Linked DNA regions of Arabidopsis thaliana. The protein of the gene in region 1 purifies or fractionates together with the protein of each later gene. This does not show direct contact. Each region holds a gene or a part of one and is shown in the gene's direction. Other genes may lie near its edges. The genes, in order: YAO, AT4G15770, OLI2 and AT4G17590.

Region 1 (6,487 bases):
TAACAAAAAAATGATAAGATAACGGCGAACATGATCATGAACTAAAAGAAAAATAGCACAACTGGTTGGTTAACATCAACTGGATGCATGGAAAAAAATTTATCTTTTGGAAGCTATACCTTGTAATAAGCTCAGAGGACTCAGGATCCCATTGAAGAACACAGAATTTGTATCTCTCAGTTGCAATGAACAAAAAGTCTTGCGCTTCGCCCTACAAAAGACGGTGGACAATACTATCAACATTTTAACTCATTATTAAGACCATGACAAAAGAACACAATAAGAGATATATACTCACATGGGGTCGGAACAACTCCAGAGTAGCGATTCTTCCATATATAGGAACGTCCAACATAGGCTGCAATATAGGAACATCCAGCAGATTCTTATATTACTAACAAAACAAAGCATGACAACAAAGTTTTTGAACTTTATACTCTAATGTACATGGAACTTAATCCATATAAGCTTGACAGAATAGAGATGTATGTACCTGAAGTCCTTGTGGGGTAAGCAAATGGATCTCGATTCGAGTACATTTCCTGAGAACAGATCAACACTGCTGTCAAACTAATCTACTAATGGATCTGATAGATGTTACAATTTAAGGGGACAATGCTAAATCGGATAAATGAGATAACTTTCAAACAAATTTACAGTACTGATAGCTAACGATAATTGAAAATCCTCCATATCAAAAAAGGCACGATCTTCAAATGTAATTTAGTTCAGGAAGTAAAAGCCATACCAAAAAAAACACAATTCTTTGTCACAGTTTCAAAAAATCCACCTCATCAAAGAACCCAGAGGCATTAAAATCCTTATAGTCATCTCCCAAACTGAAATTGAACTACAATTTTGTTTGCAAAGTGGGTAAATTTATGAAAATTAACTCGTGATGGGAAATTCATTGAAAACCCTAAACCCAAATCAACAGCTGCAATTCAAAAGGGGACTAATTGACAAACAAAAATTGATAACAAATAGAGGTAGGGGGAGAGTTTCGTACGCGACAATGAGATTGAGCTCTTGAGGACTTGTGAAGTTGCCAACGCACGAGTGAGTGACACTGGTCGGTTTGTGAGCCGTAACAACGTAGTTCCATGAGCTCATCTTCCTCTTCTTTGTCTCCAGGGAATTTGAGTTCGACTTTCTACGCGAGGGCCCTCGAGGAAGCTTCTAGATTTCTGAATCGAGCTTTCGGAATTTTAACATAGAGAAGTTAGAGAGAGAATGAAAAGCCAAAGGAGGCGAAAATCGAACAAGGAAGAAGAAAGACAACTTTCGACAAAGACTGGTCGGTCGGTTTTGGTAGACAATTGAAATTAGATGGATGGTCCGGTTCGGTATACTATAAGATTAAAAACAGTTTTAAATTCAGCTAAACCGAACTCATTTGATTTTATTAAACCGGAATCATCCGATTCGAGTTTGTAAAAAATACCGAAATTGAAAACACTAAACAAAAACTGTATTAAACTGTTACTGAAATAAGAGAATCTCCCAATTCGGTTTACGTACTACTCTTCAGAAATCAGAACCAAAAATTCAGAAATCGGATTGAACCAAACTTAAATTGACGGTCCGGTTAGTCTTCGGCTCTACAAATTAAAGGCCCAAGTTTCTGCTTTAAAAGAACGAAATAGTTAATGGGCTCAAACCATAGACCAGGTAAGTCATGGGCTTGGTTAGTCCGGGTCAACCCGGTAGACCCGATTCCTGAAGAAAACCTAGTGGAAGGTTTAAAGTTGTAAACTTTCCGACCAAATAAACAAAATCGTTTTCCAGCTTCTTCCGTCGCCACTAAACCCTGAGGCTAAACCTAGACGAGTCAAAGTGTAAAATCGTTAAACCCTAAGAGGGAGTGAGAGAGAGAAGAATGAAGTACAACAACGAGAAGAAGAAAGGAGGAAGCTTTAAGAGAGGAGGTAAAAAGGGTTCGAATGAAAGGGATCCATTTTTTGAGGAAGAGCCGAAGAAACGGAGAAAAGTCAGTTACGATGACGACGATATCGAGTCTGTGGACTCTGATGCGGAAGAGAACGGATTTACTGGCGGAGATGAAGATGGGAGAAGAGTTGATGGGGAAGTGGAGGATGAAGATGAGTTTGCTGATGAGACGGCGGGAGAGAAGCGGAAGAGATTGGCGGAGGAGATGCTGAATAGAAGGAGGGAAGCGATGAGGAGAGAGCGTGAGGAAGCGGATAATGATGATGATGATGATGAAGATGACGATGAGACTATTAAGAAGAGTTTGATGCAGAAGCAGCAGGAGGATAGTGGTAGGATTCGAAGACTTATTGCATCGAGGTAAGGAAGAAATTTAGTACCTCAATGTATTCAAATTAGATAGTTTAGGTTTGAGATTGTTGGTAATTTAGGGTTTGTGGGTAGTTAGTGTTTTAGGGAGCTGGTTTAATTGTGAAGAAACTTAGTGATTTTGTACATTTCTTAGGTCAATTTGATATCTTTGAAGATTGGTTGATAGTAGTATTGATTAAAGTTTTTCAATGATTCAGGGTTCAGGAGCCACTAAGTACTGATGGGTTTAGTGTTATTGTCAAGCACCGACGATCTGTTGTGTCGGTAGCTTTATCGGATGACGATTCTAGAGGATTTTCAGCTTCAAAAGATGGTACTATTATGCATTGGGATGTATCTTCTGGTAAAACTGACAAATACATATGGCCAAGTGATGAAATTCTCAAGTCGCATGGGATGAAATTGAGGGAGCCTCGTAACAAAAATCACAGTAGAGAATCTCTTGCTTTAGCTGTTAGCTCTGATGGTCGTTATTTGGCCACTGGAGGAGTTGACCGTCATGTTCATATTTGGGATGTTCGTACCCGAGAGCATGTCCAGGTAATGATAATAAATTTGGTTTTTGTTTAGTGTTTTTTTTATTTGTTCTTCATCAAGTCTTGCGCTCAGGTATTACAATTATGTGTCTACAGGCCTTTCCAGGTCACCGGAACACAGTTTCTTGTCTATGTTTCAGATACGGAACTTCAGAACTCTATTCTGGTTCATTTGATAGAACTGTGAAGGTGTGGAACGTAGAAGATAAAGCATTTATAACTGAAAATCATGGACACCAGGGTGAAATTCTAGCCATTGATGCACTGAGGAAGGAGCGTGCACTTACGGTTGGAAGAGATAGAACCATGCTGTATCATAAGGTAATAGTTCTATCCTCCATGTAAACACTGTTGGAAGATATCATCATAAGGTTTCTATTATTATTCTGTATTTGTAAGTCTTGTTATATGATTATAGGTGCCTGAGAGCACCCGTATGATCTATCGAGCTCCTGCATCGTCTCTTGAGAGCTGCTGTTTCATCAGTGATAATGAGTACCTGTCTGGTTCGGATAATGGAACTGTTGCTCTTTGGGGCATGTTAAAAAAGAAACCGGTGTTCGTTTTCAAGAATGCACATCAAGATATACCTGATGGGATTACCACCAATGGAATCTTAGGTGAAACCTAATTTAGATCCTCCCCATTTCATCTCTGTTGCAGTTGGATCTTGACATTGCAGTATATAGTTATAAAACACTTTTGTTTCGTTGCAGCTACTGATGCTCTGAAATATCTAATTCTTATTTATTTGCTTAACAGAAAACGGTGATCATGAACCAGTCAACAATAACTGTTCAGCAAATTCTTGGGTCAATGCAGTTGCTACTAGTAGAGGCAGTGATCTTGCTGCATCTGGAGCTGGTAATGGTTTTGTGCGTTTGTGGGCTGTTGAAACTAATGCAATTCGACCTTTGTACGAGCTTCCACTGGTAAATTTTCGTTCACTAGTTATATTCCTTAGTGTTGTCTGATGAATCTGTTGTTTGTGACTGTGATTAATGCATTTCACTTCACCAAGTAATAATCCTTGCAATGCCTTGTTTGATCTTACAGACTGGATTTGTCAACTCTTTGGCTTTTGCAAAATCGGGTAAATTTCTGATTGCCGGTGTTGGACAGGTATGTGATCATCTCTTATGTTCTCTTCCCTCTTCTTTTTTTCTATCTTTGTCCTCTTGTCTGTGTGATTGCTAATCTCAAAACTGATCGTGTTTTGTGAAATCGACATGGCAGGAAACTCGATTTGGAAGATGGGGATGCTTAAAATCTGCGCAAAATGGTGTCGCAATACATCCCTTAAGACTGGCATAAGTATTTCATTGGGATAAATGAAGCGTTGTTATGGATAGTTTTGAGTTGCTAAAAAGCCAAAGATCTAATCGCAAGTCATATAGGGATTACATTTCCTTGTAGCTCTTGAAGTTTTTGCTCCCTTTTTTGTTTGTTCCTTGTACCATTTTTTCTTAATACGAGAGATAAGAACTTATCATTTTGAGGCTCTGAAGAATCAAAGAGGATAACAGTTCCCAATTTTTTCATTCTCTCAGTAAAGCTTTTTGTTTCGTTTTCCCAAATGTTGAAGATAAGTATATGAAAAGGCAAATTATTAAACCAAGATCCATAGTGAACACAGACTTGATCGTAATTTATCCGGCGAAAAGAAGATTGCTTTTCCAAACAAAAAAGACAAGAGCCTACTACTTGAATGAATTCTCTTAAGTCAAGCTTAGAATCCCTAGAGACAATTTCTTGATGTCTCTTGGTCTCGTTGCTGCTCCATTCTGACTAATAGCTTCAACTGGATAAGAAAAACCAGCAGAGAATTGATAAGAAAGTTCCAAATATCCAAAACATACATAGAATACCACAAAATGAAGACTTGAAACAAGAAAAATGCAAACAGCATTGAAAGAATAACTAAACAAGAACATATCCTGCAAAAAAAACGAAAATGATACATAATAATCCAAAGACTCGAGCCTATATGCAGAGAAGTTCCAGAGGAAGGTCATGCTTCCAAAAGTTTCCATTTTAACATTGCAAACACTAACTCATGTACAAGTGAGTGATTCTCATTCACTTATTTGCTAATATGCATATAACTCGATCTCAAACTAACCAATAAGTATCATACTACCTGAAATCTAGCTAACCATCAGTTTTGAGATATTTTCTACAACAAAGTAAACCCAAGAACACAGCTTTGACATCAGAGATCAATACTACCAACCATCAATCCTAAACCCTGAATCATTCCATTGTTCGAAAAACAAACTGTTAAATCTCATATCCAAATCAGAAACAAGAGAAAACGATAAGCATAAGACAAAAATCTCTAACCTTTATTGACTCATCTCAACTTCTCTTTATTTCAGACACTTTCTACAACAAAGTAAACCCAAGACTCAGTAAACTACTAACCATCATTCTTAAATCCTGAATCATTCCATTGTTCGAAACACAAGCATTCAAAGCTCATCTCCAAAGCAAAAGCAAGAGATAAGACAAAATCTCTAACCTTTTAAACGAAATCATCTCAACTTCTCTTTACTTGAACTCTTCTTAGCTGCATCCATAACCTTCTCAAGATACCCTTCAATAGGCGGTGTAAGAGTAGCCATACCTCGATTCGCCGGAAACGGTGTCAAATCAGGCTCTAACGCCGCCTTCTTCAGATTCTCCGGCAATGCCTCAATAGCAGATTTCTTCAAATTCAAAAGCGCAGTTTCAGCTGCACGACGCTCTCTATGCTCTCTCATCAACACTTTACTATACTCCTTCGCAAGTCTCTCTCCATCTTCTTCCGTAAGCTTATACTTAGGCAATTCCTCAGCTTCAAAAATCCCTAACGAAATGTAATCCAAACCTGGCGTCCCAATTCGCATCGGCTCATCGGTGACTCCCATTGAAGCAGCTCCTCCTTTCTTCTGGATCTCCATATCTCGTTGCTTCTCTTTACTAATCAAACCTAGCTTCTCACGTTGCGCCTCACGCTCGATCTCTTGGGGGGTCAAGTAGCGAACAGGACAAGGAGCGTTTAAGCATTGCTCGTAGAGTTTCTGCTTCTCATCGGAAATTCTACCTTTTCCTTTAACTGCTTCCTCTCCTTCAACAGGTGCTCCGCCGCCGCCACCACCTTTCTTGATGGAGAGTTTGTTACGCTTCAATGGCTGACCTGTCTTCAGCTTTGCTTTTCCTTTAGGAGTTCCACTTGCGGAGCATCTTTGGATAAGATGGTAACTCAGTGATTCGATGATCGCTTTTGGTTTCGTAACTCGAATCATGCTTCTGATTCACCTGAGTTTCTGATTGCTTTCGTCTGAAAATGTTGCTTGAGTACAGAGATTAGGGTTTTCGACTCTCGACTGTGGAAGAAGAACACTGAACTAACGACGTCGTTTTACATCAAGTTAAATAAATCACGATGTCACAAAACTGTAAATTCAGCTTAAACCGAGGGTTTTCTTGTCTTTTAGAAAACTCCAATTTGGTTTCTTGGTTCGGTTTTCCATTTCTTTGTATACCGAATGAGAACCGACGTTAATTTTGAATTGATTTGGTTCAATTCGATTTAATTTTTGGTTATTGTTTCGGCTTACCACCACATAACCGAAGCTTCTTTCTGA
Region 2 (6,468 bases), 6.2 Mb from region 1:
ACAAAATAAATTAATAACAAACCTATGAAGAGCAATGGAAGTGGCGAGACCAGCGATTCCGCCGCCGACGATAACTATTCCGATTTCCTCCATTTCAAAGCTGAGATTTTCAGATCTAAAGTTTTGTTTGGGTAGTTGTTTTAATATCTGTAGTCCTATAGGTAACATGTAGTATAGTGTTTTTAATTTATTTATATAGAGTAGAGGAACAGCGAAGACTTTTCATTAAGACAATTAAATTACTTGGGAGACAATCAATTTACGTGAGTGTGGTGGGTCTTTGCGAGTCAAACAAGCGCTCTTTGTTTATGAAGTAACTTGACCTGTTGACGCAAGCCTATGACGCCACTTACATTAACTCGGCTTTTGGATAAAACAACTAGTTCCATCCAATATCAATTTTGTGTACTTGTTGTAATGAGTGTGACTCAATACTTATCTTTTTGGCTTTTCCTAGTATATCAAAAATCTAAACTGACAAAAAAAAAATCGATCTTCTATACTATTAAACTTTTGATATATATAAGAATAAAGATGGGATCATCAAAAAAAACATCTTCGAATTGAGCCTTTGCAATTCTGGTTTTCTCTAGATAAGTTTTCTATCACCTCCATTGATTCAGCTTCTACATTTTGAGTGGGCTACTGGATAATTTGACATTTCTCTCTACATTTTCTTGGTTCTGTTTATGTTATAATGCAGACTTTAAGTCTTTTATCAACTAGGGTGGGGTTTTTGTAACACAAATGATATGGACTTCTCTTCCTTCATCAAAATATACGAAAAATGTATTTGAATAATTATTGATTATTTTTGGTCCAAAAAACTTGAATCCAGAATTATTAATTGGATTAAAATGTTTTTGAGAATATTTTTTTGCAGATGATACCGCCCATAATTTTCTTAAATAAGTTTTTGATTGGACTTCTTTTGTCTTTCACAACTCACAAGTGAGAAAGACTAATATCATAGTTCTTTTAATAATCGAACAAAAATTATCAGAAGCGAACAAACAGGAAACATTCGCAAGAACAATGAGTAACCAACCTCATGATACAATCATCTCACGAAGCACACAACTCTCGCAATTTAGACAGTTCGTACATAAGATAAATTTATAGACTGCCACAATCATATCGAGTATGACCAATTTGATCACGAAACAGAATCATCAACATAACTACAAGCAATAGCTTCCTAACCGGCGAAGAAGCTGCTATTAAACTACCGGTAAGATAAGTTTGTGTCGAAAGCCCCACGAGTCTACCTCTTCTTTCCCTAATGTACTCATCAATTGCTTCTTCTATTTGCATCCTTGAAGAGAAGGAAGATACATTAATTATACCGTCTTGACCTAAATTTAACTTCCTCCACAAGCATCTAGCCAAAACAACACCGTCCTCAAGCGCAGCCGAACATCCTTGTCCTAAGAATGGGCCCATTAGGTGCATACTGTCTCCGGCCAACTGTCACGGTGCCACGTCGGAATTTTCCAGACAGAACATCCCAAGGAGCACGGTACCTTAAACGGTTGATATACAAAGAGTCCATATCACAATTCTTCACCATCTCTTTCCACTCTTCTGAGAATTCGCGGACTGATGCTAGTGCCAATCTTGCGATATCCTCTTGATTTTTTAAGAAGTTTGAGTCTATTTATAAAACAAATTATAAATACGTTAGTGCGTTATATGAAAACAATAGAAGTCTATGTATAGTATGAAATGTAGCATGACCGGGTTATTAATTACCTTGGGGACAATTTCGCAAAACAACAAACCAAAAGACGAGTTTGTGAGTTATAGGAAGTCGTCCGCTTACGACGTTGTCCATCTTGATTCTTATAAACTCTTGTCGGAATCCATGGTCGTCCGGGTAATTTGTGAACCCTCTGATGGCCCGCGAACCGAGGTCTTTAGTCGGGTTTAATCCTAGAAATCTAGAGACTACAGAATTTGACCCATCGCAGCCAATCAAAACCTAAATTAAAAGAAAAGTATATTATCAAAATATATAAGACCCATGCATTTCATGCTAAACATGTTGCTTTCAGTGAAAAACAAACAAAACACAAACCATTAAAACCGATCACGACCCATAAATGTCACTGTCGGCTAATATAAAGTATATACTAAAAAAATTCCACTACGGCATCACCTCAATAATTGATCAATAAATATATCTACTGTTGTTAAAACGTGCCTTTGCTTTGATAGCTTCTCCCGTTTTTAACGTGCACAATCGGAAACGATTTTGTTTCGTCGAGCTTAACCGACAAAATATGGCAACCAAGCCGGAGAGTGCCAAGAGGAAGAGCATGAGCCAAAGCTCGAACCAAGTCGTTCCTTAGTACACCTCTTACTTCTCCATAGGATGCTGGTCCAACCGATTCTCTTCGTTTAATACCTTTCTCGATCAAAACATCTCTTATCCTGTTTTAGTACCATACCGGAAATCATTATAACTAGATAAGGTTAGTTAAAATATAAATATTTATATACTTACTGATGAATTGGGAGAGACTTAAGACGAAGCTAGCTTATCGGCGACACCAAGTTGTTGAAGAGCAAGCCAGCCGTTAGTCTGAATACCAAAATGCTGCTCCTTCCGATCTTACAGACTCTGATCTCTCCAACACAACGCTCTTTATGCCCTTCCTTTATAATCATATTTGTATGTTTAGTTAGTCAATAGTTCATGTATATGTTTTCTAATTTAAATTACCTTATAATTGAGAAAATGAGGAGATTATAGTGAACCTGTGAAGAGCAAGGGAAGTTGCAAGACCAGCAATGCCTCCTCCCACGATTACTATGTCCAATTCTTCCATTCTTCTATATTTGTATTTCCTCCAAATTTTATGATCGTTATGTCCTGCAATGTCGTGGACTTATATGTGGGGGTTGAAGCCACATGGCAATATGGCATGTCGTGGTTGTACCTTGACCCGCGTATTTTTCGTTATCTATACATATTCATTCACAGCGATTTTTATTGGTATTTGTCGATTCATATATCAATTAAACTGTGTATCACACAGATCGTTATATGAAACCAATTCTGAAGAGAGAAAAAAAAGAAAAGAAAAATTTAAGCCTTCTTGTGTTAGAATTACTAATTTTAATAATTTATTTAATATTTTTACTGTATTAGTGATTAAATGTATAATTTACTTAATCTTAGAAGTATATATATATATTTAAAACAATTATTTTCTTACACGTTATACAATATTTGTAATTAATTGTATTTATTTATATTAGAAATATATATACCTTTTTCTAAAATAATATATTTTTGTTTTGTCAATTGCCCTTATAATATTAGTAATTCATTGTATGATTTCCTTATAATATTTTTACACATGAAAAAATCTCTAACTAAACATCTTTTCAATAAACTACATGAACTATCAAATTTGTTATAACTTTCAGTTATCCTCCAAAGTCCAAATATTCAAAGTGAATTATTCATGGGTTGGATTTAACAAAAATAATAATTTCGAGGTTGAAATGACAATAGATATTTTTAAAACAAAGGACCAAAGTCGAAATAACAAAACTCATCGGCCGCATTAGGTTTGGTCCTAAATCCCTAAAACCCTAAAAAAACACAATCCCTCTTAGAAACAGAGAGCTTCTCTTCTTTCTCCATTATTCATCACTTTCTTCCCCGAAGATGCGTCCTTTAGACGAGACCGAGACAACCGTCGTCTTCGAGAAGCTCTTCAAATTCGTCGGCAACAACCTCAAGAAGATCGTCGAGAACCCATCAGACGAAGGACCCGAATCTACACCCGGCAGCTACTGCTTCCGCCTCCAGAAAAACAGAGTCTACTACGTCAGCGAAGCCCTCGTGAAGCGAGCCACAAACATCTCCAGGAAAAACCTAGTCTCCTTCGGAACCTGCATCGGGAAATACACTCACGCCGGTAGTTTCCATCTGACGATTATGTCACTCAATATCTTGGCGGCGAATGCTAAACACAAGGTATGGCTTAAACCCACTTCGGAGATGTCGTTTCTTTATGGGAACCATGTCTTGAAAGGTGGATTAGGGAGGATTACTGATAGTATTGTTCCTGGAGATGGTGTTGTTGTGTTCTCGATGTCTGATGTTCCGTTAGGGTTTGGGATTGCTGCGAAGAGTACACAGGATTGTAGGAAATTGGATCCTAATGGTATTGTTGTGCTTCATCAGGCTGATATTGGAGAGTATTTGAGGGGTGAAGATGACCTTTGAAAGTTTAAAGGTTTTGTCTTTGTTGTGTCTTAGTTTGATTCTGCTTGTTGCTTTGAGTTTTAAAGTATGTAGCTGTTACAAGTTTCGTGGAACTTGGTTCTGGATCTATGAAAGTCTCGATTTTTATAAATCTGTTTTTGAGGTGTTTTGTGAGACTCTTGAGTATGTAAAAGCTAAAAAATTTACATTCATATGCGAATTTTCAAATCTGTAACCTGATGATCAAGATTTGTATTGGAGACAGGTTGAGTTTCCTGATATTGCTTTGATTTTTATACTTAAAAGCTTCAAATTCTTCATCAAGCTTGAAACTTTGGAAATTTACATACATATGCTAATTTTCAAATCTGTAACCCTAATGATTCAGATATGTGTTGGAGACAGATTGATTATGCTGATTTTTGAGACAGATTGATTATGCTGATTTTTGAGACAGATTGATTATGCTGATTTTTCTTTGGTTTTATAGTCCAAAAGCTTCAAATTGTTTTCAAGCTTCAAACTTTGGCCTTTGAGTATTAAGGGTATGTGACTGTCACAAATTTTGTGGAACATGGTATTGTATCTATGAAAGTCTCAATTGTTCTCAAACAAGAGTATCGAGAAGCTACAATTGTAAGCTGATGAATCAGTTTTCTGTATGGAAACAGATTGCTTGCTTTGATTTAAAACTTCAAAACTTATTACTGGGCATATAGGTTGTGTACTGCTGCCAAATAATCTGGAGAAGAGATGTTTAAACCAATTAAGTTCTGAAATCTTTCTGAAACAGATTGCATAACTTTTTGGGAAAGATATTGAGGGTGTTCTTTGAATAAATATGTTGTACACTGAAAATTTCCCACATTAAGAGTAGGGGATTGATATTCATCATCTTTTCAAACGTAATCTTGTAAAGTTCAACTTCAACCCAAAGTCTTGGCCTTTGTACGTTTGTTCCTCACTTGGGAATTGGGATGCAAAGCTGTGTTGCAAAATGTTTAGAAATAATATTTACTGTTATATAGTTTTTCTGGTATCATTAGTCACAAAGCCCGTCTAGCTCAGTTGGTAGAGCGCAAGGCTCTTAACCTTGTGGTCGTGGGTTCGAGCCCCACGGTGGGCGCTTTGTTTTTGTTTTTTTAATCCAAATTTGATCATATTCTGATTTTAGTTTTGAGTACCTTGACTAGTGACTCTTGAGCATGTGTTTTATGCAAGTTTTAAGATATCCTCGCCTTTAATTACGCTACGTAGAATATGTGAATTAGTATGGTACACCCAAAGAAAGAACACAAATACTTTATATAATAATACAACATCCAAAGTCAAAACCTTACAATACATATGGTACCATTTTGTTCCCCTCTCTCTCTCTTTACTAATCTCTCTACTGAAGACTTTTGTCTCTGTTTGTCGCCTGTCTCCGCCAAAAGCTCTAAGTCTCTAACCATCACGTAGAGTAATTTGTTGTGTCTTCAATCCGTGCAATTAAATCCATGACAAACCGATATCCAGATTATGAGAACAAGTAGTAGCAAGATCCCAAGAACCACCAGTTTTATCTTCATGTTCTGGTACCACAATTTCCTCCTCACCTGTGTCCCTTGGTTTTCTTGTATTCCCGCGCCTTAAAGTATACAAATTAACCCTTACATTAAAATGGCTATCACAGAAAGTCTATGAATTTAATGTTTGGAGTCAAGTTTGCCTTTACCTGAGAGCGTAGATTCTCGGTCTTGTCAGTAAGAACTGTTAGATTTTCCCCTCTGTCGATTGCCTGAAAATGGATCAACAATATTGGAGGTGTATAAAGCACAGTGATTTTTGCAGACTTATCATTGTAAAAGGTAAAGCAAAGGAGAATGATTTGTTGCTTGTCTTAAGTGTGGAGAAAGACATAAGAGAGTCAAATGATGAGCATTACCTTGTCAATATTCTCCAACATTATACTTTTAACTTCTGAAACCTGAGCCTTGACTTTTATTAGTTTTTCAATCTCCTCTGCATGGTCAACAATATAATTCATGTGTTCCTTCATCACCGGCCTGCAATATTTTAATTTTACCATTACCTTGTATTCAATATATTATAGAACATTTTCCTCAAATATTGAAATGTTTTCTAAGTACCCGAACTCCTTGTTGAGACTTTTGGCGATAGCTGTACTTGCTTTTCCACCTCCATATCTCTTCTTGAAATCAGCTTTCACACGCTCCAGAAATGCGATCGAGATTTGCTTGCTA
Region 3 (9,644 bases), on another chromosome or scaffold:
ATTATTAAGGTTAAGGAGACCGTTAAATAAGGATCCGTTTTCTTTGGTTTTTTTTTTTTTGGTCAACATTCTTTCAAAAGTATTGACTCAACAAGAATAACTAATTCAGAATTTTGTAAACTGTATTGGAATCTTGAAAGCGGACAACTCAAGATTCTGTATATACTGTATTTAATTAGTATCTTAATTGAATCCTATAGACTGGAATCTTATCAAAGTACCTCTTCTTTTGCACATGAAGAAGAACAAAAAAATAAAATGGAAATAATTGTGATGATACAAAAAAGAAGTAAAGATAATGATGACATATACTAAAAATGTATGTAGCTGGTCCCGATAATTAAGAAGTTAAGACGTATCGAAATCTAATATGCTTGAAACATGCCATGGTCATGTCAATTACGTTTGCTAGTGATATTTGAAGACTGAATTGGGTCATTGGTTCAGCTATATTTCAACAATTCAGATTTCGTTAAAAATAAACTAACAAGTAGAATAAAAAGGTTATCTATCTACTTACTAAAACCAGCATTTAGGTTTAGTGGCTTTCTTGTTCAATTATCTGCGTATTCCATATTCAACTTAAATTTTTCGTTGCCAATTCATCACCATATTGAAGTACTGTATCATGCTATTAAGTTTAAACAATATTTTGTAGACCGACTTTTAAAATACAACAAAATTGAATTAAAAATGGATTAGAAAGTCCTAACTAATTATATAAGATAGTCCAGATGGAAGAACTCAATTCGATCTGAGTTTTAGTAAAGTAATTTAATGAATCGTAAATCTTAAAAATCATGAAAAATCACTTGCAAGAAAGTGAGAAACAACCTATGGACCACAATAACAAGAATTTGTCGTAAAACAAAGAAAAGGTTTTAAGTTTTGTTGGAAACTTACTTGGTCAATTCTACTCGTGGTAATGTGGTGGACAAGCCTTAAATCGCGATTACAAGCTTAGAGAATGTTGTAAAGAAATACTCCAAGAAGATGGCATATTTATAGGACGAGAAGAACAAAAATAAAAAAATTTGGATATCCATCGCAGTTATTACAGATTCTTTATTTCTATAAATAGATTCCTAAATCGTTGCGTTTTGATTCTATATTCTATTTTTGTAAATTAAAAGTCCATGCATGGTTAGATATTGCACTGTCGTCTAGGTTCATTTTTACGTTTCTATTGCCAGCTCTAACGATTTTGACTGTGATTCATCTTTAATTAGATAATTAAGATCTATTGCCAGCTAGCTCTATTGCCATATTAATTACATAATTATCTCTAAGACTAAAAGATCATGTTCTGATGAAACTTGTCAACTTGACATGTCTCTAACTGCCAAAACTTATGAATTTAATGTACGTAGAACTTTTTAATATTGACTCCGATGACTTATTTGATGTTTGAAATCATGTGTAACAACTTTTGGCTCGATAGGCCTAATATATTTATTAGCTTTTCACAACCAGATTCTTGAATGAGACTTTTCTAGCCGTCATGTGAAAATGATGTAGCTAATAAATGGTCTTCTTTTTTTATGAATAACACCGACTCAAAGGTAATTTCAATGAGAAAAATATGAGCATTTTAGGTATGTCCTCAAACAAATTAAAACTGTATTCAAATAATTGATCATCTTGCTACATTATATAATAGAGGTGGTGATCAAACATCATAGCATAGTCATATTGTTAAGATGTCTCAAACATCGTCGCATTAGGTCTGAATCGGCAGGGCCGGTCCATATACTAATAAGTAATAACCAAATGTTATGAACTACGCGAGTGTAAATAACATAAGATGTTAAAATGGTTGGTGAACGTGCATTAAATTGTTCTACTGAACGCGTTATTGGTTTTAAGCATGTCGATATTTGTAGAGATTGTAATATGTTGTACGTATTAGAGATTAATATAAACGCGTTATTGATATGTATATTACATTTGATATCATGCGTTTGCGGACAAATAAATATCTTTATTATATACATCATATCGTCACATGTAATGTGTCACTATATATAATAGAAAAGAAATCAACTTAAATGATTGTAGTCCAATCCCCCTATATAGTCGTATATATCTCATCGGTCAAGACACATATGACATAACCAATTTTTAGTTTGAGTGTTCTACATGCACGCATGTATTCAACGAATGGGTTAAACGTTAACTCGTTCTCGTAAGATTATTTTTACATAAAACAGTGAATCTTTTTATTGGTAAATATACATAAAACTGATAATAGTAATAATCTAATTTAGCAACTAGTTTATCCTCAGAATCATTAGATACGTTACTGATCTATTATGATTGCTTAGTGATTAGATAGAGCCGATATCAACTCAGTTTGTACGCACAAGACAGAAGACTAATGAATAATGACAATATATATTCTCGACCCATTTCACACAATGCTAGTACAAGATAAGGTGCTTTCGTGTCATAGAGATTTTGACAAATTGATTATAACTTCCGTTGACTGATGGGAGCGAAATTGACAAAACCATTAACAGATTATGAGCAAGTTCTCAAGATTTTTTAGTTTTCTTTCTCTCTCGGTCCCAAAAGAAAAGATGACAATAGCTAGCATCAACTTGTTAGAAAAAGACGATGAACAAGTTTGAGAATTGGACCACTGAAAATCCAATTTCCACCCAACCAATTATTCTACTATTAGTGGAAAAACGTGGTCAACCATCTTTGTCAACTTCGCCAATATGCTTTTCAACTTCTTAATTAATGCCTCAAATCTCGGAACTACATTTTGTCACAACGCTAAAGATAAAAGAGAACTAAAAGTAGAAAAACAAGAGTTTGTGAAAGTTTACAAGTTTTTTTTGTAGAGAGAATTTTAACCGTGTTAATGTTTTGTTCCAAATGTTTTTGTTTGTTTTGGAAAAACAAAAATTTGGTTGTTTTTATTTCACAAGTTCAAGAGCACGCTTGTACCAACAAGATCGATGATCGTGTTGTTTCGATTCGTGTCGAAGTTGACACCGTTTCGTTGTCTTGTTTATTGATCGAGACATATTTGTTTTTGGTTGTGGAACAAAATTTTAAAGTATATTGCGTGTTCACACTAGTTTGAAAGTTGTGTGCGTATGAATAAACATATCGAATAATCAATAACAAGGCACCATATAGTTATTGGGCTCAATTTGTTTTAAATTGGGCCGATAATTATTTAGGCAAAAGCCCAATAATAGACACCAGTCAAATATACCTTTGTGTACTCCAACAATCATCATCTTCTACTTCTTCTCTTAAACCCTGGCCGCGCGAGAAAACCCTAATTCAAACCTGTAGCCATGCCTGCCCTCACTCGTAACAAGAAGAAGGCTGCGACGAAATCGATAACCCCTCCAACGAAGCAGCTTACCAAATCCAAAACCCCTCCAATGAAACCCCAAACTTCAATGTTGAAGAAAGGAGCGAAATCTCAGAACAAACCTCCATTGAAGAAGCAGAAGAAGGAAGTTGTGGAGGAAGAGCCTCTAGAAGATTACGAAGTTACCGATGATTCTGATGAAGATGACGAAGTTTCCGATGGTTCTGATGAAGATGATATTTCTCCAGCTGTGGAATCAGAAGAGATTGATGAATCTGATGATGGAGAGAACGGGTCTAATCAGTTATTCTCTGATGATGAGGAAGAGAACGATGAAGAGACTTTGGGTGACGATTTTCTAGAAGGTAGCGGCGATGAAGATGAGGAAGGATCTTTAGATGCGGATTCGGATGCTGACTCTGACGACGACGATATTGTGGCGAAATCTGATGCTATTGATAGAGACTTAGCAATGCAGAAGAAAGATGCTGCTGCTGAACTGGAGGATTTTATCAAGCAAGATGATGTACATGATGAAGAACCTGAACATGATGCGTTTAGGCTACCAACTGAAGAGGTAACATTTTTTTCATGTGTAATACTTACTCTGTTTGATTTTGGTTTTAGCATATATCTAACTGTTGTTGTTATCTTTCATTTGTCCAGGAGCTTGAAGAAGAAGCTCGTGGTCCACCAGATCTTCCTCTACTTAAGACTAGAATTGAAGAGAGTTAGTAACATTTCCAAATTTTGTTGCTTTATTACTGTTGAAATGTTGGTGTGATGGTATTTATCTAGGTTGGTTTGGATTGGTGTTCTAATTGTTGATTCATTTAACATTTCAGTTGTTAGAGCTCTTAAAAATTTTAAGGCTTTCAGGCCAAAAGACACCACGAGGAAAGCTTGTGTTGAACAGCTCAAAGCTGATCTCGGTTCTTATTATGGTTATAACAGTTTTCTTATTGGAACTTTGGTTGAGGTGAGACTCTCTAGTTTCTTTCCTTTGATATAGTATGGATAGGATGTTGCTGATATTCTTTACTTATGGATGTTGAATTGGGATTTCTCTTGCAGATGTTTCCTCCTGGTGAACTTATGGAACTTATTGAAGCTTTTGAAAAGCAAAGGCCTACGTCCATCCGAACTAACACACTTAAGGTGAACTTGGTTGTGACTTACTGGGTTGTAGCTTATGACTTTCAAGTTCTGCAATTTCATGGTGATGTATGTTTTGCTTTAGACTCGAAGACGGGATCTTGCTGATGTACTTTTGAACAGAGGAGTCAATCTAGACCCATTAAGCAAGTGGTCTAAAGTAAGTAGTTTGTTCTTACTATTTTCTATTCTGTCAGTCCTATTTTTATGAATCTTCTATTGTTGATCTGTCCTAAGTCTTATTTACTGATGTCCTACTGCAGGTTGGACTTGTTATTTATGATTCACAAGTCCCAATTGGTGCAACTCCTGAATATCTGGCTGGGTACTACATGGTAAGTGATCTTCTGATGTCTTTCCCTTTTCTTCACCTTTATGGAATGCAATTGTTTGCTTAAGTCTCTCTACTTGGTGTATTTGCAGCTTCAAGGTGCTAGTTCGTTTTTGCCAGTGATGGCCCTTGCCCCTCGAGAGAATGAGCGGATTGTGGATGTAGCGTAAGTTATCATCATCTACTCATCTACTAAACAATCGCTGCAGCTAAAAAGCGTTTGACCTTGTTGGCGTGTGATGATTCCAATTCTAGTGTTTGACTGTTTTGTTGTGTGAGTTTATAACAAGATTTTATATCGATGCAGTGCTGCTCCTGGTGGTAAAACAACTTATATCGCCGCTCTAATGAAAAATACGGGTATGTCTTCATTGGTTTCTCTTGCTTCTTATCCCCATATTCTATTTGGCTGTCGTATGTTTTTTTTTTTTGGTTTAAGTAATGTTTATAATGATGCTATTACCAGGCTTAATATATGCGAATGAGATGAAAGTACCTAGGCTTAAGTCGCTAACTGCCAATCTGCATCGTATGGGGGTCACAAATACCATAGTTTGTAACTATGATGGAAGAGAGGTTAGCTTCTTGAACATTGATTTTTCTGTTGAATTTCTGCTACCTGTTCACAAAATGTTAAAAACCCCGTAACATCTACTTGAATTCACACTACTGAAATGACTGGAATTATAAAATTTGATCTGGTTAATTTTGCTCAACATGCTGCCCAGTTTTATTTTCTTGCACTTATTCTTTATTTCGTTATCTTTGCTGCTGTCAGCTACCCAAGGTTTTAGGTCAGAACACGGTTGATAGAGTATTGTTGGATGCGCCTTGCAGTGGGACTGGAGTAAGGAACTTCGAACTTACTCTCTGTTAAACTGTAGTTAAGTTTTAGATCCTTGTTACTAAATCTCCTCTGCTACCCAATACAGATTATATCAAAAGATGAATCAGTTAAAATAACGAAAACCATGGATGAGATAAAGAAATTTGCTCACTTGCAAAAGGTATGGCAGTACCTTCTTAAATAACTTCTATTATATCTGAACAGACCAATTTTCATTCTTAAACACATGCTAAGTTAACCCTTTTTTGTTCATGAAGCAACTTCTACTCGCTGCTATTGATATGGTGGATGCCAATTCCAAAACCGGTGGATATATAGTTTATTCAACATGTTCAATTATGGTTACTGAGGTTAGTTAACTGATAATTTCCCCCATAATTTTCTTCTTTGTATTTGATTCATCCTAATTTTTCTTTATGTATGAAAAAATTGTGCAGAATGAAGCCGTCATTGACTATGCCCTCAAAAAGAGGGATGTTAAACTCGTTACGTGTGGTCTCGATTTTGGCAGAAAAGGGTAATGCACAAGTTTTTCATCTGAGGGATATTTAAAGGAACATTAAATAATGTCTCTAACTCTTTGTCCTTCTTCTCTTCATCAGATTTACCAGATTTAGAGAACACCGGTTTCAGCCATCTTTGGACAAGACTAGACGTTTCTATCCTCATGTACACAACATGGACGGATTTTTTGTGGCAAAGGTACTCACTTTTGGCCATTGTAATCGATCAACCATGCACTTGTCAATACTCTAATAGTTGATATAATCCACACAATTTGATGTAATGCTCTTGTGTTCTTTTTCTTTATACAGCTGAAGAAAATGAGCAACGTGAAGCAATCTTCAGAAGAAGGTGATGATGATGCGGTAGAAACTGTAGAGCAAGCTGAAGTGTCTAGTGATGATGATGATGAAGCTGAGGCCATTGAAGAGACGGAGAAGCCTTCTGTTCCCGTTAGGCAACCTAAGGAAAGAAAAGAAAAAAAGAACAAGGAAAAACTTGCAAAATCAAAGGAGGACAAGAGAGGTAAAAAGGATAAGAAATCAAAATCTGAAAATGTGGAAGAGCCATCTAAACCAAGGAAGCAAAAGAAGAAGAGACGGGAATGGAAGAACGAAATAGCTCAAGCTAGGTATATAAATATCTATCCCCATCCATGAACTGAGAGAACAAAATGCTTTAGACTTGTCTTTTATATATAGTTGCTTGACAATGATTTGTATAATCACGTTTGCAGGGAAGAGAAAAGAATAGCCATGCGGGAGAAGGCGAAGGAGGAGAAGTAATGATGATTCAGTGTTTTTTCATCAAAGAGAAGAAAAAACATTTGCGAAAACGTTATCATCTATGGTTATAGTAGGCTTGTGCCATATATTGGCTTTCTTGTTTTTGTTTATTCACGACGAGATTTGTGCAACGTTAAAAGCACCCAGAGTGAGCACTCTGTTGGACTCCGTGGGCAGACCACCTTAAATGTCCAAAAGTTTTGTTTCAGAAAAAAATCTTTTAAGAGAATCAAAGTTAAGTTGTGTTCTTGAGCCGATCACTAAATTGCTGTTATTTTTACTCAAGAACCAAACTAGGGGTGGCCAAAAAAAAAACTATAACTACTAACCTAAATATTTTTTATTTCGAAAAACCCAACATTTTTTAACCTAAATGTAGTTGGAACAAACCGAAATGAATATACTAAATTTTGTTAATTTTAAGTTCAAATGATTAATTATCAACTTTTTAATTAATTTGTTAATTCATCACTTCATATGTTGGAATTGACTCAAACCAAACTATATCAAACCATAATTGTATGAAACCAAACAAAATATATGAAATTGAAAGGCTCAGAATTGTTTCAGTTTAGTTTTTCTTATTTTTCAGAGAACTGTTTTTTAAAAAAAATTAGGGATTTGGCAGTGAGCTGTTGATTGGTTGTAAGAAGTTAGAGAGAGAGATTGAGAAACTCTCACACCAAAGTGGGACTTGTGTTGGAGAACATGACAACCCATTCTTCATCTATCTTTGTCAGATCTTGTTTGGGGACCTCTCAATTTTAATTTGATTATTTATCCTTAACTCTTCCTTTTTCTTTTTTTATTTGCATTATTCATTCTTTTTATAAATATGTATTTCAAATAATCGAAAATCATTAAAGATATCTAACTGGTCGATTATATGTTCCAATCAATCAATTTTTGTATTATTATGGTATGAATAATTTCATATATTTTTCTTGTTTACTTTCTTCCTGATTTTATTATATTCGAAAGAACATTTTTTTTGTCTGCTGTTATAAAGAACATTTTTGTAAGGGAAAAAGATGGTTATTTTATAAACAAAAAGAAGATAATAAAATAAATCAGGTGGACTATTATTTATAACTTTACGTCAAACAAAATCATGTGGACTATGTTCTGACATTTGGGTTGTACTAAAGTAGAGTGGATAATAAACTAATCAAACAGAAATTAACTGAAAACAAGTGTACAGTATATGACATATTATTGGAAATAAAGAACAAAATTACTGTAATTTTTTTTATAATATGCCCATCATAATTGAATTATTTTGGCTGACTTTAGTGAAACAAAAACAAAACTGGAAAGAACATTAAAATATTAAAAAATATTAGGTAAACGAATTTGCGTGTAGAAGTTGTTTTGATTGATAATAAATAGAAATCTCTATCATTATATTTATAAGTTACAACAAAGAGATCTAAACCAAACTCTAAACTAGTTTTTTTGGAGCTTACCAAAAAAAAAAAACTAGTTTTTTTGGACATAAAAGAACTAGGTATTTTTGCTATTTAAAGCATTCACAACTACCACCAATAATGATTAATCTCATTGTAGGAACACTCGAATCTTTAATTTTCACGATAAATCTTTTAACCATTGAATCTCTATGAATTTGTTAAGAAAATAATATAATTAAGACTTTGAGAGGACTCGATCTAAATCTAAGAGTAAACCTAGAAACTTGTATAAAAATGGATATTCTTACCATTTAAATGTTAAAGCATCCTTAGTGACAGTGTCCAGCTATGATTTAAATTGTAATGAAGAAACTTAGAAACCTTAATCCCTCAAGTATCATGGTAAACAAAACATTTTAATAAACTAAACCTTTTATTTTGTTATTATTGCAGTATTTTTAACCTAAAGAAATGGGATTATAATGAAGAAAGATTCCCCACTCGCGTTTCACGTCACAAGCCGATCGTGTAGCAATTGTCGTTATTGGATCTGAGCTTCTCGATTAAAAATTGACGCAGTAATTGGATCTAATAAGAGCATGAGGTTAAAATATGAATTATTTGAGATATGAGGAAATGAACAAATTATACCCACTTGTGTTCTTTTATGTTGAACAATCTTCTGGTTTGTCAACTACCTGTTGAACCATTTCTAAAAAAACATTGTTTCTGTTCGATTTAAATGTGGGGGAAAAAAAATAAAATACATGAAATATAATCTTAGAATCTAAGGAAACTTATTATTGGGCAATAAATAAGAATTTGCTGAAAAGTTTTAGGGGCATCTTTTGGAACTCTCAAGTTTCAAACAATGGTGAGTCTAATTTTAAATAATTGTTTGGTGTGTTTAGTAAAAAAATAAAATAAAATTAATACACATGACCAATTTACGTATTTGTTATTAGGGAAATTTTTTAAAGGTTTATACAATTTTGGAATGTTTAGTTATTTTTAAAAACTTAAAAGATTTTTTTTTATTGATTTTGGTAAATGACAAAAACTTTCACTAAAAATTTGAAAACAGAATGTTTGACGGATGCTAACAAGCTTTTAGAAAGTATTATTTCGACCATAAAATTGGATGAACACTGGATGTAAATGGAATTGATAACAAAAGAAATCGAGATATAAAATATCTATTGTTATGTCTTCATTCAGCTTATAAGATTTATCATCTATTGGCAATCCGAAAAGATGCAAAACTCTTTGTGATATGGTA
Region 4 (7,059 bases), 7.1 Mb from region 1:
GTACGTTTATATATTCTAGTCATCTATCATCGAAGGACGGTGCAAGAGTTTACAAGAATTTTTCTCTTTTTCTTTTCTGCAGTGTGACTGCTGAGAAATGGGTTCCAATCATGGAAGTCCCCGTAAACAGTTTGAAACTGTTCTTGGAGAAGAAGAAACGGGAAGGGTTCTCAATCTTGGGACTGGAACAGACAGCGAATAGCGTTTCACTTGACAAATACCAATTCCCAAAGAAGACGGTAAGTTGATGCGCAAAAACATAAGAACAGAGCCTTTCATTTACTCTCGCTTGTGGCTTTCCCATAGTAACTAAGTGGATCTCTCTGTTGTTCCAAAGGTTTTGGTGCTGGGTCGTGAAAAGGAAGGCATCCCAGTGGATATAATCCATATATTGGATGCTTGTATCGAGATCCCACAACTTGGAGTTGTTAGGTCCCTCAATGTTCATGTCAGTGGTGCCATTGCCCTTTGGGAATACACTCGGCAGCAACGCATTTGATAATTCCAAAATTTATATGTTTGTGAGTACTTGAAGAAGCTTTAGAATCAAGTATGCCTGAGAAAACATCTTCAAATCTCGTTAGCCTTTTGTTTGAATAATTACACCAAAAATAAAGGAAGAAACTTTGTTTTGAACCCAATGATGATTAGTTCACAACTTCACATAATCTTTCATCGCAAGATTGATACATACTTTGTAATCGACATACATGCTAAAGTTTTCAAATTATACCACAATTAATAAGTTGCACATACAATCAAAAACCTAACCCTGGAAAGGGAAATATATCAAATAGGAGAACTATAAGCAGAGTAATCAAAGCCTGGTCTTGACATAAATTTCCAAATCGCGAAACATCATTGTATGTTCCAAATATGTACATGGTGCAACCGATCAGCTAGTTCCTTTGCTTTCGTAATCTCTTTCTTCATCTTTTCTCTCCTCTGTTTCCTCATCTCCATGACTTGCTTAAGCAGCTCTCTCCCTTCTTTAGTGTTTAGTATTTGAGCTCTGGTGCGTTTATATATGTTCCGGATAAGCTCAGGTTTACCTCTCACAAAGTCACCATCAGCAAATTCCCTTTGCTCAGAGTCAAGTTTCCTAAACCCGTATCGGTCAAGCAACCTGGTAAACAATGAGAAATTGTGGCCAGAGCCAATATCGTGGTAGCCAAAGCCAAAGATTCTTGGTAAAACATTTATCTCACTTACGAGCTGTTGTCGATGTGGGATAAATATAACTAACGAAAATAAACTTGGAAAATTGGGCTTCTTATTGGGCCTTTTTTGTTTTCTAATTAGATTAAGTTAAGTAGAGACTAGACATGATTAACGGTAATCTGAGGAAACATTGTTCAAATCTCTTGATATTACATTTGGTAAGTTCATCTCCTAATTACAACAACAACAAAAAAAGAAAGCAAGAATCTTTGTTATCACTTCTTCTTAGAACCCAATGACTCATCATCATCATTTTTCCAAGCTGCTTGCCATTGCTTATCATACAATGTAGTCTCATCAAACAAGTTCTTGAGTTTATCCACATCCTCATTCTTACGAATAAACAAAACTCCAGCCACAGCCACAAACAATAGTGTCTTGCAGAAGAAATTCCCCATTTGATCAACAAGTCCTACTCCGGTAAGACTATCGACAAAGTAAGCCATAAAGAATCCTATCATCGCCGCACGACCTACAAAGAGTAAGAGTAAGTAACATTCTTTGTGTATGTGTTTGATCTTTTGAGAGAGGAAACAAATACCATTTAAGAGTTCAGCTTCAGGTAAGTGGTATCTCTTAATCCAAGCCCACCATGGAATAATCGATGTATCGAAAAGCACTGGTTCGTCGTTACTCGTTGTTTCTGGATTCTCTTCTAGCCATTTTCTTCTCTTTGCCTCTTCAAATCAAAACACATTAAACATCAAATTCAAATTTCGAATTTTCACCAAAGTAACAGAGCAAAAAAACTTAACGAGGATCTAATTCTAATCTAACCAGCAACGATTACAGAATCCCAATCGGTTTTTCCATCTTTCTCGAACTGTTTCAGATCCCAAGTTCCATTAATCCATCTCGCATCCTGGAATTTGACAACACTCTCCGTTGTTTTCATCTCTTCACCTTCGACGGCGACATTTTTAGCGGTGGCGGTTTCTTCCTTTTTAACCGCCGGTGTTGATTGCGGAGGCTCTTTAACTATCACTTCCACGGGCTCAGGAGCCTCCACGGAGACGGCGGCGGTGGGAGAGGTTGATCCACTGTCGGAGGAAGCTCGAGTGACGGAGAGGAGAGAGAAGCGGTTACTGGAGAGGAGGGAGAATGAAAATTTGGGAATGAAATTGGGATTTTGAAGAGATGAAGAAGAGATTGGCGGGGAGAACAACGCCATTGTTGTGGTTTCTTCTTTACTTCAGAGTTTCACAAATCACAACTAGTGGTTCTAAATAGACTTGTTATCGTTTAAAGATGTAACATGTATGTCGTTTCTTTCTCCCAAATTGAGACTACGTAACGTGTTTTTTTTCCCTCTACACATACAGAAACAAAAAAGTGACTGTTATCTTCATGGGCTCGTATTAAAAGCCCATCCCAGTATTTTGGTGTTGTTATGAGGGTATCAAACAAAGAAAGTCAACACATTTACCTGATTAATCAAGCAAAGTTTTTATTATTATTTTGTATTCAACTAAGCAATGTACCTTACAATATTTTCCATTTTACAAACAATTTAAGGTTTAACTTTTTAAAAGGAAAAATTGTACTAAACTAAATTCATTAATAATATATTTAATTAAAATTTTAATTAATTTTTTTTTCTGCAAACTGAATTATATTAACCAATTGAGATTTTACAAAGTAGTTTTTGTAACCAAGGTGGTTGACGACCTGATTAAGAATAAAAATCTCCATGAATACAATTAGAGGTTGAGAGGTAATGAGCTATACTATTATTTACACGCTTTGTGAAGCCAAAGAAGATTGAAGAAATTTTTAATTAATTTAAAATTTTGAATCCCATAAAGTATGGTGAAAAGAAAGCTCAACAAAAATAAATTTGTAAAGAAAACATAATATTTCTTTTAAAACATAAAAAGCCTAAAAAATGAATTCTAAAATATGTTTTTTACCTTGATGCCCTAAGCCATGACTTCACTTGATTGTGTGGAATGTCGGGCTTGATTTATTATACATAAATGCATTGTATTTGTTATAATGCAACACGATGACCAAAGGATATATGAAGTTGATTTTCAAGTATGATTTGTATCATGTGTTATGATGAAAAGTGCTATTATATATTAGACTCTAAACTTAGTACTTGTTAAGACAATCTTAGTGAATTCCGGATTATAAATGTAGATTTGTCACAACCGGTTGTTACAATAGCATCTTATACAACTTAATTGTACGAGATAAGCTCACTTTCAGTTCTTTACCAATCTTGAATATGAGTGTCGGATAATCAAGGCGTCGCATAATCAAGGCATTTTGAATATGACTCTGGAGAACTCTTTAAACTAATCAAGGCGTTTGAGGAGCCGATGCCGACATATATATGGACGAACACTCTAAAGGTAAATTTGGTTATCCATTGTTCAATTGTTTAGTAAAGTTTTGAGATTATGCATTTTTATGATGAGTTTTGTTTTTTTGCTTAAGACTCGGAGAATATATCTTTCTCAACAGCTTTTGGACCGAGGATTTCACGTATGCCTGCTACAGAACTGGTCAACGGTAAGTATGCAAATTTTCTTCCTCTAGATTCACAACAAGTATTATGTTGTTCATACATACATGTACTTGATTCTTTCAAAACTGCTTGTAGCATGGACTTGTCATTGAAGATGAACCTGAAAGTCTTCCCATTGGGGAAACTCCTGAACATCTGTCTGGGCGCTTTATGGTAATAAAAGGTATAATATTTGCTAATGCGTCTACTGAACACTTGCTTGGTTCACTTTATGCCAATCTCCATCGAATGGGGATTACAAATACAGTTGTTTCCAATTACAATATCAATACAAAGGTTAGCTTCTTGAACCTCACTATTGATGATATTAAGGGTAATAAAAGTTCTGAAATAATTTTCTATTATTCCTTCCCGTTCAGCTATCTAGGGTTTTCCATATAAACTCAAAGGATATGGTGTTGGTGAATGCGCCTTCAACTAGAACTGGAGTAAAAATTCAACTCGTCTGTCATGTTTTAACTGAATTGTCAGGTTTTAACTCAAATGCTAACTTCTATCTATGCAGCTAATATCAGAATTTGGATCGATCAAAATGTCCATTAACGAAGAAGCTGACATACAACGCTTTGGTGTTTTGCAAAAGGTAAAACTTGCTTGGCTTTAACAATTAATGAGAGGTTATGTTTTTAACCATAATTATCTCATTTGACAGCAAAGCCAACAGATTTATCTGATTAATTAAGCAAACTTTTTTTTTAAAATTTTGTAATCCAAATCTAAGCAATGTACACCTTAGAATATCTTCCATTTTGCAAGAAATTTAAGGTTTAACTTTTTAAAAAAAACCAAAAATTTACTAAACTAAATTCATTAACAAATTATTTAATTAATTTTTTTATTAATCTAAAATTTTAAATACCACAATATATGGAGAAAATAAAGATTAACAAAATGAATTTATAAAAAAGACCTATAATATTTTTCTTAAAAAATAAAAGCCTAAAAATAAATTCTAAAGTATGCCTTTTTATTTTGATGCCTAAGCATAAAATGCATTGTATTTGTTATAATATAACATGATGACCAAAGGGTACATCAAGTTGATATTCAAGTATGATTTGTATCATGTGTTATGATGAAAAATGCTATTATATTAGACTCTAAACTTAGTACTTGTTAATCTTAGTGAATTTCGGATTAAAAAATGTAGATTTGTCACAATCGGTTATTATAATAGCATCTTATACAACTTAATTGTACGAGATACGCTCACATCAACTTCTTTACCAATCTTGAATATGAGTGTCTTTACCAATCTTGAATATGAGTGTCGGATATAATTATAGATAGTAGAAGGCGTTCACATGTCTGATTATGTTGACCAGCTTAAAGATGATATTGCTTCTCTTTATGGGTACAATAGGTTTCTTATTAGAACTTTGGCGGCAGTGATTTTCTCTGACTTTATTCTCCATGACATTCCTATCTCTGTTGCTAATTACTCATTTATCATCAACTGAAATTTCTTGTCAGACGTTTAGTCTTGCAGAACTCGTTAAACTAATAAAGGCGTTTGAAAAGCTGAGGTCTACATATATACGAAGAATACTTTAAAGGTAAACTTGGTTATCCATTGTTCAAGTGTTTAGGAAATTTATTAGGTTATGCATTGTTATGATGAGTCTTATTTTCTTTAAGACTCGCAAAATGTATCTTGCTCAACAACTTTTGGACTGAGGATTGGACCGAAGATTTCAGGTATTCCTGCCACAAAACTGGTCAACGGTAAGTATGCATATTTTCTTCCTCTAGATTCACAATAAGTATTATTTTATGAATGTATACATGTAGTTGATTTTTTCACAACTGGTTGTAGCAAGGACTTGTCAATGAAGGTGGACTTTAAAGTCTTCCCATCCTCTTTAATATATGGGTAGCTCTTTAAATTTAAAAGGTTTTTTTTGATGCATTTGTAGATTCAAAACCTTGGTTCCTTGTTCGATGTAATGACATTAGATGCACAGAATAATGAAACGATTGTAGACATGCAAAAGCCATTATTTTTTTCTTTATCATATTTTTATTGTACCTGATGGTATGCCTTGTTTATAAGTTTATTTGCTCCATATTTTTAATTTGTACTGATGATTTAATTTAAAACAGGTATAATCTCTGCTAATGCGTTTAGGGAAGACATGCTTGGTTGACTTTATGCCAATCTCCATCGATTTAACGGCTTTGATATTTTTTTCGGCTAAAAAACTCACCACATTATAGCCGTAAGGCCGTAACCAAACCTAAATTGTGTGTTCCTTTTATAACCACGCTTTTGCACTTAGTTATAGACTTATAGTATTAATTAAACTAAGTTATAGGATCATTTATACATTTTAACCCACTATAATTGAAGCATTAATTGCTAGCCCGTTAGAAACTAGTAGTAGAAACAAATTTGAAGCTATTAAAAGGATCAAGGCCGTGACAAAACGACGTTACTTAATAGTATACGTGTGCGTATAAAAATAACAAAACATCATCAAGCAAAATCCTGCATAAAAAATACCAAAACAAAATAGCCTCTTCCCCTCCTCCTAAAAGACGTTTCAGCTTTCAGCCCTAGCTAGACACACATGAATCAGGCCGACCATTCTTCTTCTCCTACTCTTCAATTTATAGGTTTTTGAAATTGTGGTACGACTCATGTTGTTTTGCTCAAGTCGAGGAGTCTCTCCATTTTAAAGGTATTGTGTGGTTAAGGAGATGCATCGAGTCACTGGCTGATCAACAAGGTCTTCGACAAAAATCTAAACACAAGAATACAGCATAGGTGAGTGCATCTTGAGGTAAGCAAGAAATAAGAAAGGGTTATCTTTTTGAAGGGAGTGTTCGGACTTTAGGGCCTCTTCATATTTTTTCCTGGAATTGAAACACTAGAAAAGGATCAACTGAAAAGCAAGGTAAAATGTCGGTGTGCTTTGCCCAACGATGACCTCGATATCCAAGCAAGATCACGAAGAAGCCAGCCCAAATGAAACAAAAATAGCAAGGTGAGCAGCAGGTCGAATGTATCCTCAATATTGCCTTTTTGGATGAGCGACCAATGGAATGGTGATGTGCTTTTGTCGAAAGGGAGGGTTGTAGGCTTTGGAGAATAGGAGAACGGGCCTAGCACAAACGCGCCAAAGATTACATGGACCGTGCGAATACTCTCACCCAAGTAGCATTTGTTTCCATTGGAGCCATATGAATCCGGTGCATATAGAGAGATCCTGAAAGTACCGTTTTGATGGACTTGTGAGACGACCAGTTTCTCTTTTTTTTTTTTAAATGCATTGAGCATAAAGCCATCAACGACGATTATTTGT

The links.
Region 2: the proteins of YAO (region 1) and AT4G15770 fractionate together in Arabidopsis thaliana (co-fractionation; one large-scale study listed by BioGRID). This does not show direct contact.
Region 3: the proteins of YAO (region 1) and OLI2 fractionate together in Arabidopsis thaliana (co-fractionation; one large-scale study listed by BioGRID). This does not show direct contact.
Region 4: the proteins of YAO (region 1) and AT4G17590 fractionate together in Arabidopsis thaliana (co-fractionation; one large-scale study listed by BioGRID). This does not show direct contact.

Annotation. Positions count from the first base shown.
Region 1 is NC_003075.7:2,740,914-2,747,400, reverse strand, and holds YAO (Transducin/WD40 repeat-like superfamily protein), read left to right. Parts: upstream 1-1,765; 5' UTR 1,766-1,879; coding exon 1,880-2,310; intron 2,311-2,519; coding exon 2,520-2,862; intron 2,863-2,954; coding exon 2,955-3,179; intron 3,180-3,276; coding exon 3,277-3,478; intron 3,479-3,620; coding exon 3,621-3,790; intron 3,791-3,914; coding exon 3,915-3,980; intron 3,981-4,094; coding exon 4,095-4,172; 3' UTR 4,173-4,469; downstream 4,470-6,487. Other genes in the region: DDB1A (damaged DNA binding protein 1A), read right to left, coding at 120-211, 299-358, 494-542, 1,010-1,113; AT4G05400 (copper ion binding protein), read right to left, coding at 5,393-6,145. UniProt on the Arabidopsis thaliana protein: Component of a nucleolar small nuclear ribonucleoprotein particle (snoRNP) thought to participate in the processing and modification of pre-ribosomal RNA. Essential for embryogenesis. Plays a critical role in embryo sac development and gametic cell fate.
Region 2 is NC_003075.7:8,974,381-8,980,848, forward strand, and holds AT4G15770 (RNA binding protein), read left to right. Parts: upstream 1-3,514; 5' UTR 3,515-3,679; coding exon 3,680-4,243; 3' UTR 4,244-4,564; downstream 4,565-6,468. Other genes in the region: MO1 (monooxygenase 1), read right to left, coding at 23-168; AT4G15765 (FAD/NAD(P)-binding oxidoreductase family protein), read right to left, coding at 1,403-1,653, 1,753-1,981, 2,235-2,433, 2,593-2,658, 2,761-2,831.
Region 3 is NC_003076.8:22,643,054-22,652,697, reverse strand, and holds OLI2 (S-adenosyl-L-methionine-dependent methyltransferases superfamily protein), read left to right. Parts: upstream 1-3,180; 5' UTR 3,181-3,314; coding exon 3,315-3,911; intron 3,912-4,000; coding exon 4,001-4,064; intron 4,065-4,179; coding exon 4,180-4,313; intron 4,314-4,408; coding exon 4,409-4,492; intron 4,493-4,574; coding exon 4,575-4,649; intron 4,650-4,752; coding exon 4,753-4,824; intron 4,825-4,912; coding exon 4,913-4,986; intron 4,987-5,127; coding exon 5,128-5,180; intron 5,181-5,286; coding exon 5,287-5,396; intron 5,397-5,598; coding exon 5,599-5,667; intron 5,668-5,752; coding exon 5,753-5,827; intron 5,828-5,924; coding exon 5,925-6,017; intron 6,018-6,104; coding exon 6,105-6,184; intron 6,185-6,269; coding exon 6,270-6,369; intron 6,370-6,482; coding exon 6,483-6,802; intron 6,803-6,907; coding exon 6,908-6,956; 3' UTR 6,957-7,250; downstream 7,251-9,644. UniProt on the Arabidopsis thaliana protein: Involved in ribosomal large subunit assembly, required for normal progression of rRNA processing. S-adenosyl-L-methionine-dependent methyltransferase that probably methylates the C(5) position of cytosine 2268 (m5C2268) in nuclear 25S rRNA.
Region 4 is NC_003075.7:9,799,092-9,806,150, reverse strand, and holds AT4G17590 (NOL1/NOP2/sun family protein), read left to right. Parts: upstream 1-3,559; coding exon 3,560-3,578; intron 3,579-3,663; coding exon 3,664-3,738; intron 3,739-3,848; coding exon 3,849-4,030; intron 4,031-4,113; coding exon 4,114-4,182; intron 4,183-4,259; coding exon 4,260-4,337; intron 4,338-5,040; coding exon 5,041-5,142; intron 5,143-5,227; coding exon 5,228-5,308; downstream 5,309-7,059. Other genes in the region: AT4G17610 (tRNA/rRNA methyltransferase (SpoU) family protein), read left to right, coding at 83-239, 338-499; LIL3:1 (Chlorophyll A-B binding family protein), read right to left, coding at 1,437-1,693, 1,763-1,900, 1,999-2,392.